Danio rerio: one gene and its partners. The protein of the gene in region 2 purifies or fractionates together with the protein of the main gene of each other region. This does not show direct contact. Links are inferred from orthologs where the notes say so. Each region holds a gene or a part of one and is shown on either strand. Other genes may lie near its edges.

Evidence for each region.
Region 1: the proteins of kat2a (region 2) and atxn7l3a purify together in Homo sapiens (affinity purification with mass spectrometry; 10 studies listed by BioGRID and IntAct, counting the BioPlex papers as one, with this or other methods). This does not show direct contact. The link is inferred for Danio rerio from reciprocal best matches to the Homo sapiens genes KAT2A and ATXN7L3.
Region 3: the proteins of kat2a (region 2) and zzz3 purify together in Homo sapiens (affinity purification with mass spectrometry; 5 studies listed by BioGRID and IntAct, with this or other methods). This does not show direct contact. The link is inferred for Danio rerio from reciprocal best matches to the Homo sapiens genes KAT2A and ZZZ3.

Annotation. Positions count from the first base shown.
Region 1 is NC_133178.1:18,805,865-18,808,991, reverse strand, and holds the end of atxn7l3a (ataxin-7-like protein 3), read left to right. Parts: intron 1-784; coding exon 785-921; intron 922-998; coding exon 999-1,219; 3' UTR 1,220-2,588; downstream 2,589-3,127. UniProt on the Homo sapiens protein: Component of the transcription regulatory histone acetylation (HAT) complex SAGA, a multiprotein complex that activates transcription by remodeling chromatin and mediating histone acetylation and deubiquitination.
Region 2 is NC_133178.1:16,337,882-16,341,538, forward strand, and holds part of kat2a (histone acetyltransferase KAT2A), read left to right. Parts: coding exon 1-132; intron 133-1,270; coding exon 1,271-1,462; intron 1,463-1,550; coding exon 1,551-1,657; intron 1,658-3,657. UniProt on the Homo sapiens protein: Protein lysine acyltransferase that can act as a acetyltransferase, glutaryltransferase, succinyltransferase or malonyltransferase, depending on the context.
Region 3 is NC_133177.1:9,148,119-9,152,269, forward strand, and holds the start of zzz3 (ZZ-type zinc finger-containing protein 3), read left to right. Parts: upstream 1-1,220; coding exon 1,221-2,620; intron 2,621-4,151.

The DNA of each region.
Region 1 (3,127 bases), about 2.5 Mb from region 2:
TAGACGGAGGCCGGACTGAAAGTGGACCATGCTTTATAATGTCTATGGTATTGCCAGTCTCCGTTCAGGATGTTTACGTACGTGAATGTGTGAAGTCTCAAGCAATGTATCAAAATTCCACTGATTTCCTGATAAATGTTGCATTCTGGGATAATCCAGCGCAGCTCTTTGATAATAAGCTGATCTCTCCTTCCTCAATGCAGTATTGGATGAACACAATATGCAGCCTATTCCTCTTGCTTTTTCTACTTTGGAGAAGACAGGAGAAGGTATCACTGCTTAAACTTACTCCGAAACGTTTTGCGTTTTTTCATAATGGATTAATGAATACGCGTCAGACTGGATATGCAAAAACGCATGCAAAAATGTCAGACTTCAGTGTGCAAAAGACCTTTAGGCTAGTATAAAAAGCTTCTTGTTAATTTGTTAGCTATAAAATAAGACCCTGTCTGTGTTTAAATGACCTCCTCATGCTTTGTGTTATGTCATGAGGAAGCTTGATTCCACCTCTCCTTTTCATCAACTCTGCATGTTTCCATAATCCGCACACTGATGTTGTGGTCTAGTTTCTATTTAAGAAAGCAGCTGTGAGTCAGATTTGAAAGATGTTAATTTCTCAAATTAAAGCGTTTCAACTCATAACATAATTGCTGACAAGAAACCAGGTCAGATCACTGGAAAATGTAGTTTAGGTGTCATACTCCATCTGTCGACTTTTTCCTTGAACTGAGGTGCCAATTCAGCGTTTTTGACGAGAGAGTCATTTCCTGTTTCTGTTTACCAGGTCAACACTACCAGACGCTGACACCATGCTGGAAAACGAGGCCTATGAACCCCCTGATGGCCAGCTCATCATGTCCCGTCTCCATTGGGACGCTTCCTCTGACATCTCCCCATCAGACTCGGCATCTTCAAAAGCCAGTGAGTTTCCTGAAGACTTTTTTTTTTTGTCAAGACGCCACATGTATCTGCTTGTCATGACATGATCTCGTTCTCAGGCACCAATAACTCTGAATCCAAGAGACCGAAGAAGAAGAAGCCCAGCACGCTTTCTCTGACTCCCGCAGGAGAGAGGGATAAAGCACAGGAGCGAGACAGAATAGCAGGCAGCGGGAGCAGCGGTAGCAGCTCCCAGAATGCTCTGGGTCTCTCAAGTCGGAAAAAGCGACCAAAACTTGCAGTTCCTCCAGCACCCAGCATCTATGATGACCTGAACTAAGGCACATGCATCCCACACACACACCCACACCCAATCATGACTGACTTGATGAGGTTTTATCTGGTCTTTAGTTTCCCCCATTTCAGTGCACGTGAACGTGACGTGTGTGTAAAGACTGGGCCCCTTTTCAGACTTCTGCAGGCATGAAGAGATCATTTGTTACAGCACAGTGTTGCACAGTGAGTGATTTAACTGAATATATATATATATATATATTGTGTGAATGGAACTAGCTTTATTTTGATTTTACTATGCAGTTCACTGTCATCTCTTAGGAGATTTGGGTTTACAGTGATGTGTGTGTGAGAGTTGGACAGTTTGTATGTGAATGGGTTGTTGCAAGTATTTTGTCCCTGGTGGCTCATGTAATTCAGTCAGGTGCTTAGTGGTTTTTAAAGGACGTCTCTGCTTCATGTTGTCTTGCTAATCTTTCTGCAACCTGATAGGCTCGGCTATGCTCTTTTAATGCCAAACAATATACTCTCTTTTGCTCTCCCTTAAAGGGACAGTTCACCCCAAAATGAAAATTCTGCAATCATTTACTCACCCTTGTTTAAAGCCTTTTTGAGTTTACACAAGAAGATATTTTGGAAAATGAGAGTATGGAAATCAGTGTTTTCCAGCATTCTTCACAATTTTTGTGTGTGTGTGTTTAAAAGCACATGAGCGTGAGTGAATAATGTGAATTTTCAATTGTGGCTGATCTGTCTCTTTAATGAACTTGGTTAGCGCTACCAGCAGCTTTCTGCCAAATCTGTGCGCACACAATCTTCTGCCTTGTGTGTTTTGGAGTTTGCTGTTCTTGTTTGCTGTCATGGTTAATATATTTTGCCTGTATTTATTTGATCTGCTGTGTGAATGTTGTTTTGTTTTAAATCATGATATGTGTATGCATTTCCTCGCATTATGGACTTAAAATGAGTTTGTTGATCTTCAAAGCACTTACTATTTAACGTTAGATGGTTTTGTATTAAATATAGTTTGTTAAAGTCTAATCAGAAATGCGTATAGCAATTGAAAATGCACTTAAGATGGATCAAATCCAGCCCCTATGGACGCCTTGTCTTTTTTAAAGTGAAAATGTTGTCATTGTTTGATCGTTAGTGAATTTTAGAGTTTGAAATGACTTGAGCTTTTGTGTTTGTTGTGAATGGACAGAATTGGTACAATTCACACTGTCCTTGCTGTGAGTGGATGTTTCGTCTGTGACGCCGAGTTCTTGCTGTCTCTCAATGCACTGTAGTGTCTTTGTAATGGTTGAAGTAAATATTCATTTTGAAGTAATTCACCATTTAATTTCTGAAGTCTGAGGAATGAAAGAGTCATTTGTTTGCTCACATTAAAATATGCTCAACAAGTGTCTTTCAAATATGAGCTATTTTATTCTCAAGCAAAAACAAAGCATTAAAGAGGTGCTAGTTGTCTGTTAAAGCAAACAGAATAGGTAGTTTCCCCTAAAACCATATTCAATTTCTGACAATATTGAGCAAAAAAAAGTGCAACCCATTCAAACAAGAACCAAAGTATCCAATGCTTTGTGGTTCCCACACACGTCTTGATTTATCTACAGTAAATACATTGCATATATACAGATTTTTACACAGGACACCAAATGTGTGGCTGTTATCGCTGTCATGTATTAATGCCTATCAACACAGTGAGTTTTCCCTATAGTCTACTCCAGTCCTGATACTGTTTGAGGGTTGCATGTAAAATCTTTATCAAGTATAAAACTCTTATAACTAGAAGCGGATGTGCTGAACCAGTGCCATGTAAAAGACAAAGGAAATAAATAGATTTCAATGTAACTGGCAAAAGAGAGAGGGAGAGGGGGGAAAAGGACAACTCAATAGTGACTAAGCAGTACATCACATATGGGTGTTTACAGTATGCTTTAACCGCATTATC
Region 2 (3,657 bases):
GAGGCAGACCATGTATGAGCTCAGTAAGATGTTTCTCCTCTGTCTGAACTACTGGAAGCTGGAGACACCGTCACAGTTTCGGCAGAGGGCTCAGAAAGAGGACGCAGCGGCATACAAAGTCGATTATACTAGGTGCTTGTGTTACTGTGTTCTATTCTAAATGCACGTTTGTAGGATGTGTAAATATAAACACACACACACACACGTAAGGTATAGAACAGAGTGTGATCTCATTTCCTCTATGTTGTATGTATTTACTATGTGAAAATGTTTAGGATTTATTTCATATGAAGTCATTTACTGTTATTACATTATCAAGTACATCTAATGTGTGACCAAAAAAGATGGTCAGTTTACTATTTTGAAATTAGGTTTGCAAATGTACAGTGGGTACGGAAAGTATTCAGACCCCCTTAAGTCACAGCAAACGGTCTTAATACTTAGGACAATGTGATATTATGTTTTCCTTTTTTGATAAATCTACAAAAATGTCAGTAATTCTGTGTTTTCTTGTCAATATGGAGTACTGTGTTTACATTAATGAGGGAAAATTTACTTAAATGATTTTAGCAAATGGCTGCAATATAACAAAGAGTGAAAAATTTAAGGCCGTCTGAATAATTTCCTTACCCATTGTACATCTATCACAACAAATGTCAAACTGAGTTTTCTTTTCCTTTTGCAAAAATTAATGTACACATTTTTAAAAAATAATCAATAATTTAGAACAGTTAAATTGTTTATATTGTTTTATAATGATTTACTCCCCAAACTTATTGCAGCTTCCGACCCAGAATATTATATTCTTTTGAAATATAAAAAAAATACAGAAATATCTATTTAATGCATAAAAATATGTTGTTTTGAAGTTTATTCATCAGAAAATCCCAAAAGAAAAGTTTGTTTCCACAGAAATATTAAGCTTTATTAATTACATAAAGCTTTAACATTTAATAACAGTGTTAGTTAAGCACAACATAAGCATATTGAAAGGAAATTTTATGTGGATCATGTTACACTGAAGGCAGCTGAAAATTTACAACATAGGAATAAGTTCAATTGTAAATAAAATATAGGGAATTAGAAAACAATTTCCATTTGTAATGCTTTTTCATAATATTTATGTATTTACCATCTGTGAGGATTAGAGACTTTCAAACACAATAAAATATCAAATTTGAGTCTATCTTAATCTGAATATACAGAGTCATTAATCTAATTACTGTTCATTTGTTTTATTACTATTATTTCTGTGTGTGTGTGTTTTCAGGTGGCTGTGTTACTGTCACGTTCCTCAGAGCAATGACAGCTTGCCACGGTATGAGACCTGTCAGGTGTTCGGCCGCAGTTTGCTGAAGTCCATCTTCACTGTCACCCGCAGACAGTTACTGGAGAAGTTCAGAGTGGAGAAAGACAAACTGCCGCCAGAGAAACGCACCCTCATCCTCACACATTTTCCAAAGTAAGACACGTTACCATGTTATCAATACAAACTTCAAAACTATCACTCTCTCATATCCTGAGTGTGTGTGTGTGTGTGTTTGTGTTAGGTTTCTTTCCATGTTGGAAGAGGAAATCTATGGAGAAAACTCTCCCATCTGGGAGGCAGACTTCACCATGCCAGCCTCAGAGGGCACACAACTGGGCCATCAAACAGGTGTGTGTTTTTATGGAGCCAGATCAGTTTCAAAAATAATACATTTACAAAATTAATTTAAAACTTGCACAGCACAATTCACATTCACAAAATCCAATTTGTAAATTCAAAGCACAATTCACAAATACTACTCATAAAGATAAATATAACTCGCATTCATAAAGATAAATATAACTCGCAAATCATAAATATTTTTTACAGGATGAATTGGATTTATCTGTTAATAAATCGTGTTTTAAATTTGAATACACAAATTGCATTTGTGTATTTTTGAATCGTATTCGAATTACGAATTAGATTAGTGAATTTACGAATCATGCTTTGAACTTATGAACTGGTTTTTGTGTAATTACAAATCATGCTTTGAACTTATGAACTGGATTTGTGTGTTTACAAATCGTGTTTTGAACTTACGATATGGATTTGTGTATTTTTGAATCGTCCTTTGAACTTATGAACTGGATTTGTGTATTTACGAATCGTGTTTTGAACTTACGATATGGATTTGTGTATTTTTGAATCGTGCTTTGAACTTACAAATTGGATTTGTGTATTTTGCAAATCGTGCTTTGAACTTATGAGTTGGATTTGCGTATTTATTAATCGTTTCAAATGTATGAACAGGATTTGGGTGTATACGAATTGTTTTGTATTTTGAATCGGATTTATGTATTTAGAACAAAAAATTTGTGTTTTGATCTTGCGAATTAGATTTTATAAATGTGACTTTTGTTGTGGAAGTATGAATAATATTTTGTAAATATATTATTTTTGAAATTTGATCTGGCTCTATAGTTTTTGGTGGTTCCAGGGTAAAAGTATTGTAATCGATTGTAATTATCGGCAGTATTTTTTGAGACTTTTTTCAACATTCATGCCAAAGTGATTTTTCACTGGCAATGAAATGAGTGAATGTGCAAAATTACTCTTGACGTTACACACCACAAAAAAAAAAAAAAAACTCCAGTAAACATAGTGTCGCTGCACAATGACGCTCGCTTATTACACAGAAGAAGATAGCACCCTCATGCTTTTAACTGGTCTTTATTGCACAGGGTTTTCCACTTCTGTTTTCCCCCCTTCACTACAACACAAATACCTGTTTAAAAAAGTTACAAGCTAAGAAAGAAAATGAAGTGGAATGAAACTCACTATTGAATCCTTCTTGATAATTCCTGTGTGCTCTTCTACACCTTTTTTTACTTGAGTGCTACCAAGTCAGGTTTTTACTGTAACTACAGCAGCTCAGGACATGGAACAAAAGTGCCAATATCATTCAGGGCTCGAAATTGCGACCATTTTGGTCGCATATGCGCCCGAAAATTAATCTATGCGACCTCATAATATATATGGGAGCATTAGTGCGACTGCAGATAATGGTTGTAGTGCGACCTGTTTTGATTTTTTGTAAAAACGTGCTGAATCGCTCTTCCCTGCCGCTATATTGGTTCATATTAGCTGTCAATCACTCAAGGTATTCCGCTGTCAGATGACATGGAAGGAGCTTTTATGACCACAGGAAATGCAAACGGCTGAAGAGTGAAAACTTAACTTAAAGCACACAGGTTTGCAAACCCCACCTAAAGTTGAGGCGCAGATGAGAGCGATCATGACACGTCACGTGGTGAGTAATGATCCACCAGCTGAGATCAATCGAGTACGCGCTTCTTAGAGAAGGCGCCCGAATCTCCATGCTTTGCATTCACTGCGTGTTCAGCGCAAATGTCCGCTAAAAGTCAAATCTAATACTGTACATATCATCGCCAAAGAAGCTCGCCTTTACTAAGTACAAAACAGCAGTACAAAATAAATATTTCTTACTGCAATGCTTCATTTTTGTTTAATGCAAACTATACAATTATTTTTCATAAAGTAACAGACTTTTTATAGCAGATAATTCATGCACATTCAAGGCAGTATCATAATGAGAAATGGAATTCATTGTTACTATTGTCATTTTTTATCATCATTAATATTCTATGGCCTAATTATTAGACATT
Region 3 (4,151 bases), on a different chromosome or scaffold from region 2:
TTGCTCCTTAACGTGATGCGCACACCATGTGTACGTCACTCCCATGTGCACCTCCTTTGGAAATGACAAACTGACTCTAAGCTTATTGGCATTGCTTCCAAGGTGCGCGCTCGGCAGACACATTTTAATAAAACTATAGCGCTTCATACCGAAACTACATACCAAACTTTTTTTGTTACTGATATCGACAATGGTGTTCAGTTAATAAATACAGTTAAATCTTTCTCCTAACCATCTCAGGTCACGTATTTTTTATTTATATTTTTTTCATACAAGTTAAAGAAATCATAACTACTGCGCTTCTACCACCTCAGTTTCCCAGAACTTCTGGAGCTTGTTTAGTCATAAAAGCCTGTGATCTCGATTTTTATCGCCCAGCCCTATGCTTCACCCCTGAGCCTGACATCATTATTAGACAATTCAACACCCAAGTAGACCCATATTCCTATGCTTTGCTCAGTCCAGGGTGCAGAGCCCTTGAATGGGGACTTAAATGTTACCATGACAAAGCAAAGCAGCAACCACAGAAATGTTTTATTGTTTATTTTCCGAGCGATTAAATTGAAGTTTTATAATTATGTTTTCAAAATATGCTGTCAATTTCAATCTCTTCCAGTACTAAACACAATTCTTACCTATGAAGTACTAAGAGAAAGTGTTGGTGGTATTTCACAAATGTAATTGAGTATTTAAGGAATTTAATTGAGTGTACTAGAGGTTATAGGAGGAATGTGTTTTCTGCAGTCTGTTTATATATCAATAATAATACAATTGGTTACAGTGAAGTAAGCATTAGTCTTTAATCAAGAACATGATCTTTCAACTGTTAGTTCTGCAGCTTTATCGTACGTTTTTGTTTTTTAATTTTTAAAAGTTAAAACTTTTCTGTGTGTAAATGTAACTTCTTATGAACTTGTTTTACATGAATCCACTACATTTCAGAATATACTAACCTCTGTTTAAACTTGTGAACATTTCAGTGCTGTGCAGCAACTTTGATTTAACCTGAGCACATTTGCATGCATTCTCAAATATGTATGTTCTTCAGGAACAGCAACCGATTACATCTTTTCTGTCTATTTTTTGTTATACACTTAAACCTGTGTAATTTAGAATCTGAACGGTCTGTAATTAGTCTCTCATTGTGTCACTCAGGTGCCCACATACTGCTGCTGAGGAGAGAGCACCACGATGAGGAGACAGTAGGCACCCACCATAGTATGGCCGCGTCCCGCTCTTCGCGCGTCACAAGATCATCAGTGGGGATAAATGGATTGGATGAGAACTTTTGTGGCCGAACCCTCAGGAACCGCAGCATCGCCCAGCCGGAAGAGAGCTCTCCGCCTCCCGTGCCCAGAGCTCGCTCACCCAAAAAGAAGCAGGACTGTCAGCAGCACCAGCAGACCGGAGCACAGGTTGGAAAGGTAACTGAGAGCAAAGCGGAGGGCGAACCCGTGCCTGCATGTGGAAAACGTGGCTTGCCGAGCTCCGAGAAGGAAGATTCGGACAAATTTGATAACTGTGAGCGTCAAAGGTCTGGGTGTGGGCCTGAAGCCTCACCTGCCCTGAAGAGGGCCAAACGCTGTCCTCGCTCAGGTGAATCACAGGGGGCAGAGGAAGAGCCTTCTCTCAAACCCGAGAGCCCCGATCCTGCTGTATTGAAGGAAAATGACGATGGCGCCAAATCAAATAATACTTCAGCCTCAGACAAAGAGGCTGATCAGAAAAAGGATGGCCCAACAGAAGAGATCGCCCCTCAACCAGAGGTCAGCGAGAACGTCAAAGCAACCAATGGCCTCGCTGAACTCTATAGAGAGGACTCAGAAGTTGCGGCCTTACCTGTGGAGCCCTGTGCCTCCCCTGCCACACTCAACAGCAGTCCCTCACTGTTAAATGGCAGCCAGGCTGCGCCCTCATCCCCCGACCCTATTGTGCCTTGTAGATCCCCTCATCCCAAGCAAACCAATGAGCCCGACAGCCCTAAAATTGACTGTGAGAGGAACTGCACACCTGAGGAAGCCGCTGAGGCTGTGCTGTCTCAGGAACCCGAGATGGAGGTAGAGGTCGATGTTGTGGGAGAGGCTGGCCAGGCTCAGGATGAATTCGTGAGAGAGGAGAGCACCAATGGTGACTTTCAGGCTGAACCACAGGACCCTTCTGACAACTGCTCGAATATCTCAGGAGAAACGCTGTTGGCTGCTTCTCAGCTGCCCGCCGAGCCCCCCTCCTTCACAGAGCCTCAAGAACACCGCTACACCCTGAGGACTTCACCGCGCCGCGCTGCCTTTGGTAGCGGGCTCAAAGCCAGCTCCCCCAAACCCACTTCCCCACACATAGACAATGGTTCACTGAAGGAAGAGACCACAATGGTTCCTTTTTTCTCAGAGGACACCAGCCATAAAGACCCTTCCCATGATGCACTGGGACTTTCTTGCGAGGCAGACAGTGAACTTTTCGAGGAAGAGGTTGTCAGCGGAGAGGTCGGAGTGTCTGATAGTAGAGAGTCAAGATCCACCAAAGAGCTGCTGGCTGCTCAGGCTGAGGAAGATGAGGAGGAGGAAGAGGACCCAGATGTCTACTATTTTGAGTCGGATCACTTGGCTCTCAAACACAACAAAGAGTATGTTTAGGTTTACGTTCTTTCATTTGAATCTTTTTCATAATTGCGGTGATTCAAGATTATTGATTAGAAATTTGCTTTTGGCTACCCCAAACCCAGCATTTAAACCCAACAACCCAACTTTGAATACAACGGACATGAATCATGTAGCTTTATGAGAAGTCTTAAGTCGACTGTCAGCCAGAAATACTGTAGGTTAAGAAGTATGTTTTGGTTGACTTTTATGTCTGTCACCAGTTTGAACCTGTTAAAAAAAATCTACAAATTAAAAATCTTTGATCCATATTCAGATTTTCAGATCAGCTACATTTCTATTAAAATTATTGGACTTTGTTGGTGATCTGAAAATCTGACTGCAACTGTAGTTTGGACAGACCAGAGCAATGTTTAAAAACCTATAGTATCGTTCATCTGTTGCTTTAAGGAACCTCATAATGGCGCGTTTTCACTAAGCCGGACGGTACGGTACGGGTCTGTACGAGTCACCTTTATCAGGGTTGCGTTTCCATTGCCAAAAGGGTACCAATGGTACTCTTTTGGTGGGCATGGTATTCAACAGAAAGTTTCAGTCAACGTCCTTCTAGCTTGAGGAAATGTCAAAGTAAAGCTGTGCAATCAGTGCAAACCTCTCATCTGTATCTTTAATCTTCACCTGCGGTTAAAAAAGCTATTCATAAGTTTATAATAGTTCAAAAGGCGACAATAGTAGTTAAACATTGTCGTTTGTTCATGGTTTAGGTTGCTGAAAGAATCATTTGCTCATTTGTTTTTTTGTTTTTCTGGCTTCTTTTTTGTTTTTTCGCACTATACTCTCGCGTTGGTCTGTTTCTGAAAGGATTGGATGTCTGAAGCACTTTATTAATCATGCGCACGTTATTATAATCAGCTCAAAAAGTTTGTTATTTCAAATATAGAAGCATGACGAACGCACACAAGACAGCAAAACTGCTCGCCCTTTAAATAACTACTGGCCACAGGGTAGATTCTGCTCTTTTTGGCTTTGTGGCTGTTCATCAAGACAACGACAAGGTTGTTTGAGCTCAGGTCAACCATGGTTCGTTATTATATGTATATATTATTATGGTCTAGTGCAGGGGTCACCAATCTTTGTTCTGGAGGGCCAGTGTCCCTGCAGGGTTTAGCTCCAACTTGCCCTAATCCACCTGCCTGAGTGTTTTAAGTATACCTAGTATTGTACATATGTATTTGATTAGGGTTGGAGCTAAAATCTGCAGTACACAGACCCTTCAGGAACAAGTTTGGTGACCCCTGGTGTAATGTCTCAGCTGTGTATTTAAAAAAGGTGATTCCTTTGTTTTTATTCTCCTGCTTTTGCGTGTAACGTATCTCTGTAAACCAGTAGCGTTTAGTTGCACGTCTTGCTCCGCCCTTTGGTACCCTTTTGTTGTGCTAGGTACCCTTTGCAAAGGGTACCCAAAAGTGGTACGGTTTGCTTTTTAGGTACCTTTTGACAGTGGAAACGGCCTTAAAAGCGCACTGAACCGAACCGTACCACTAAGTAGAAACGGGC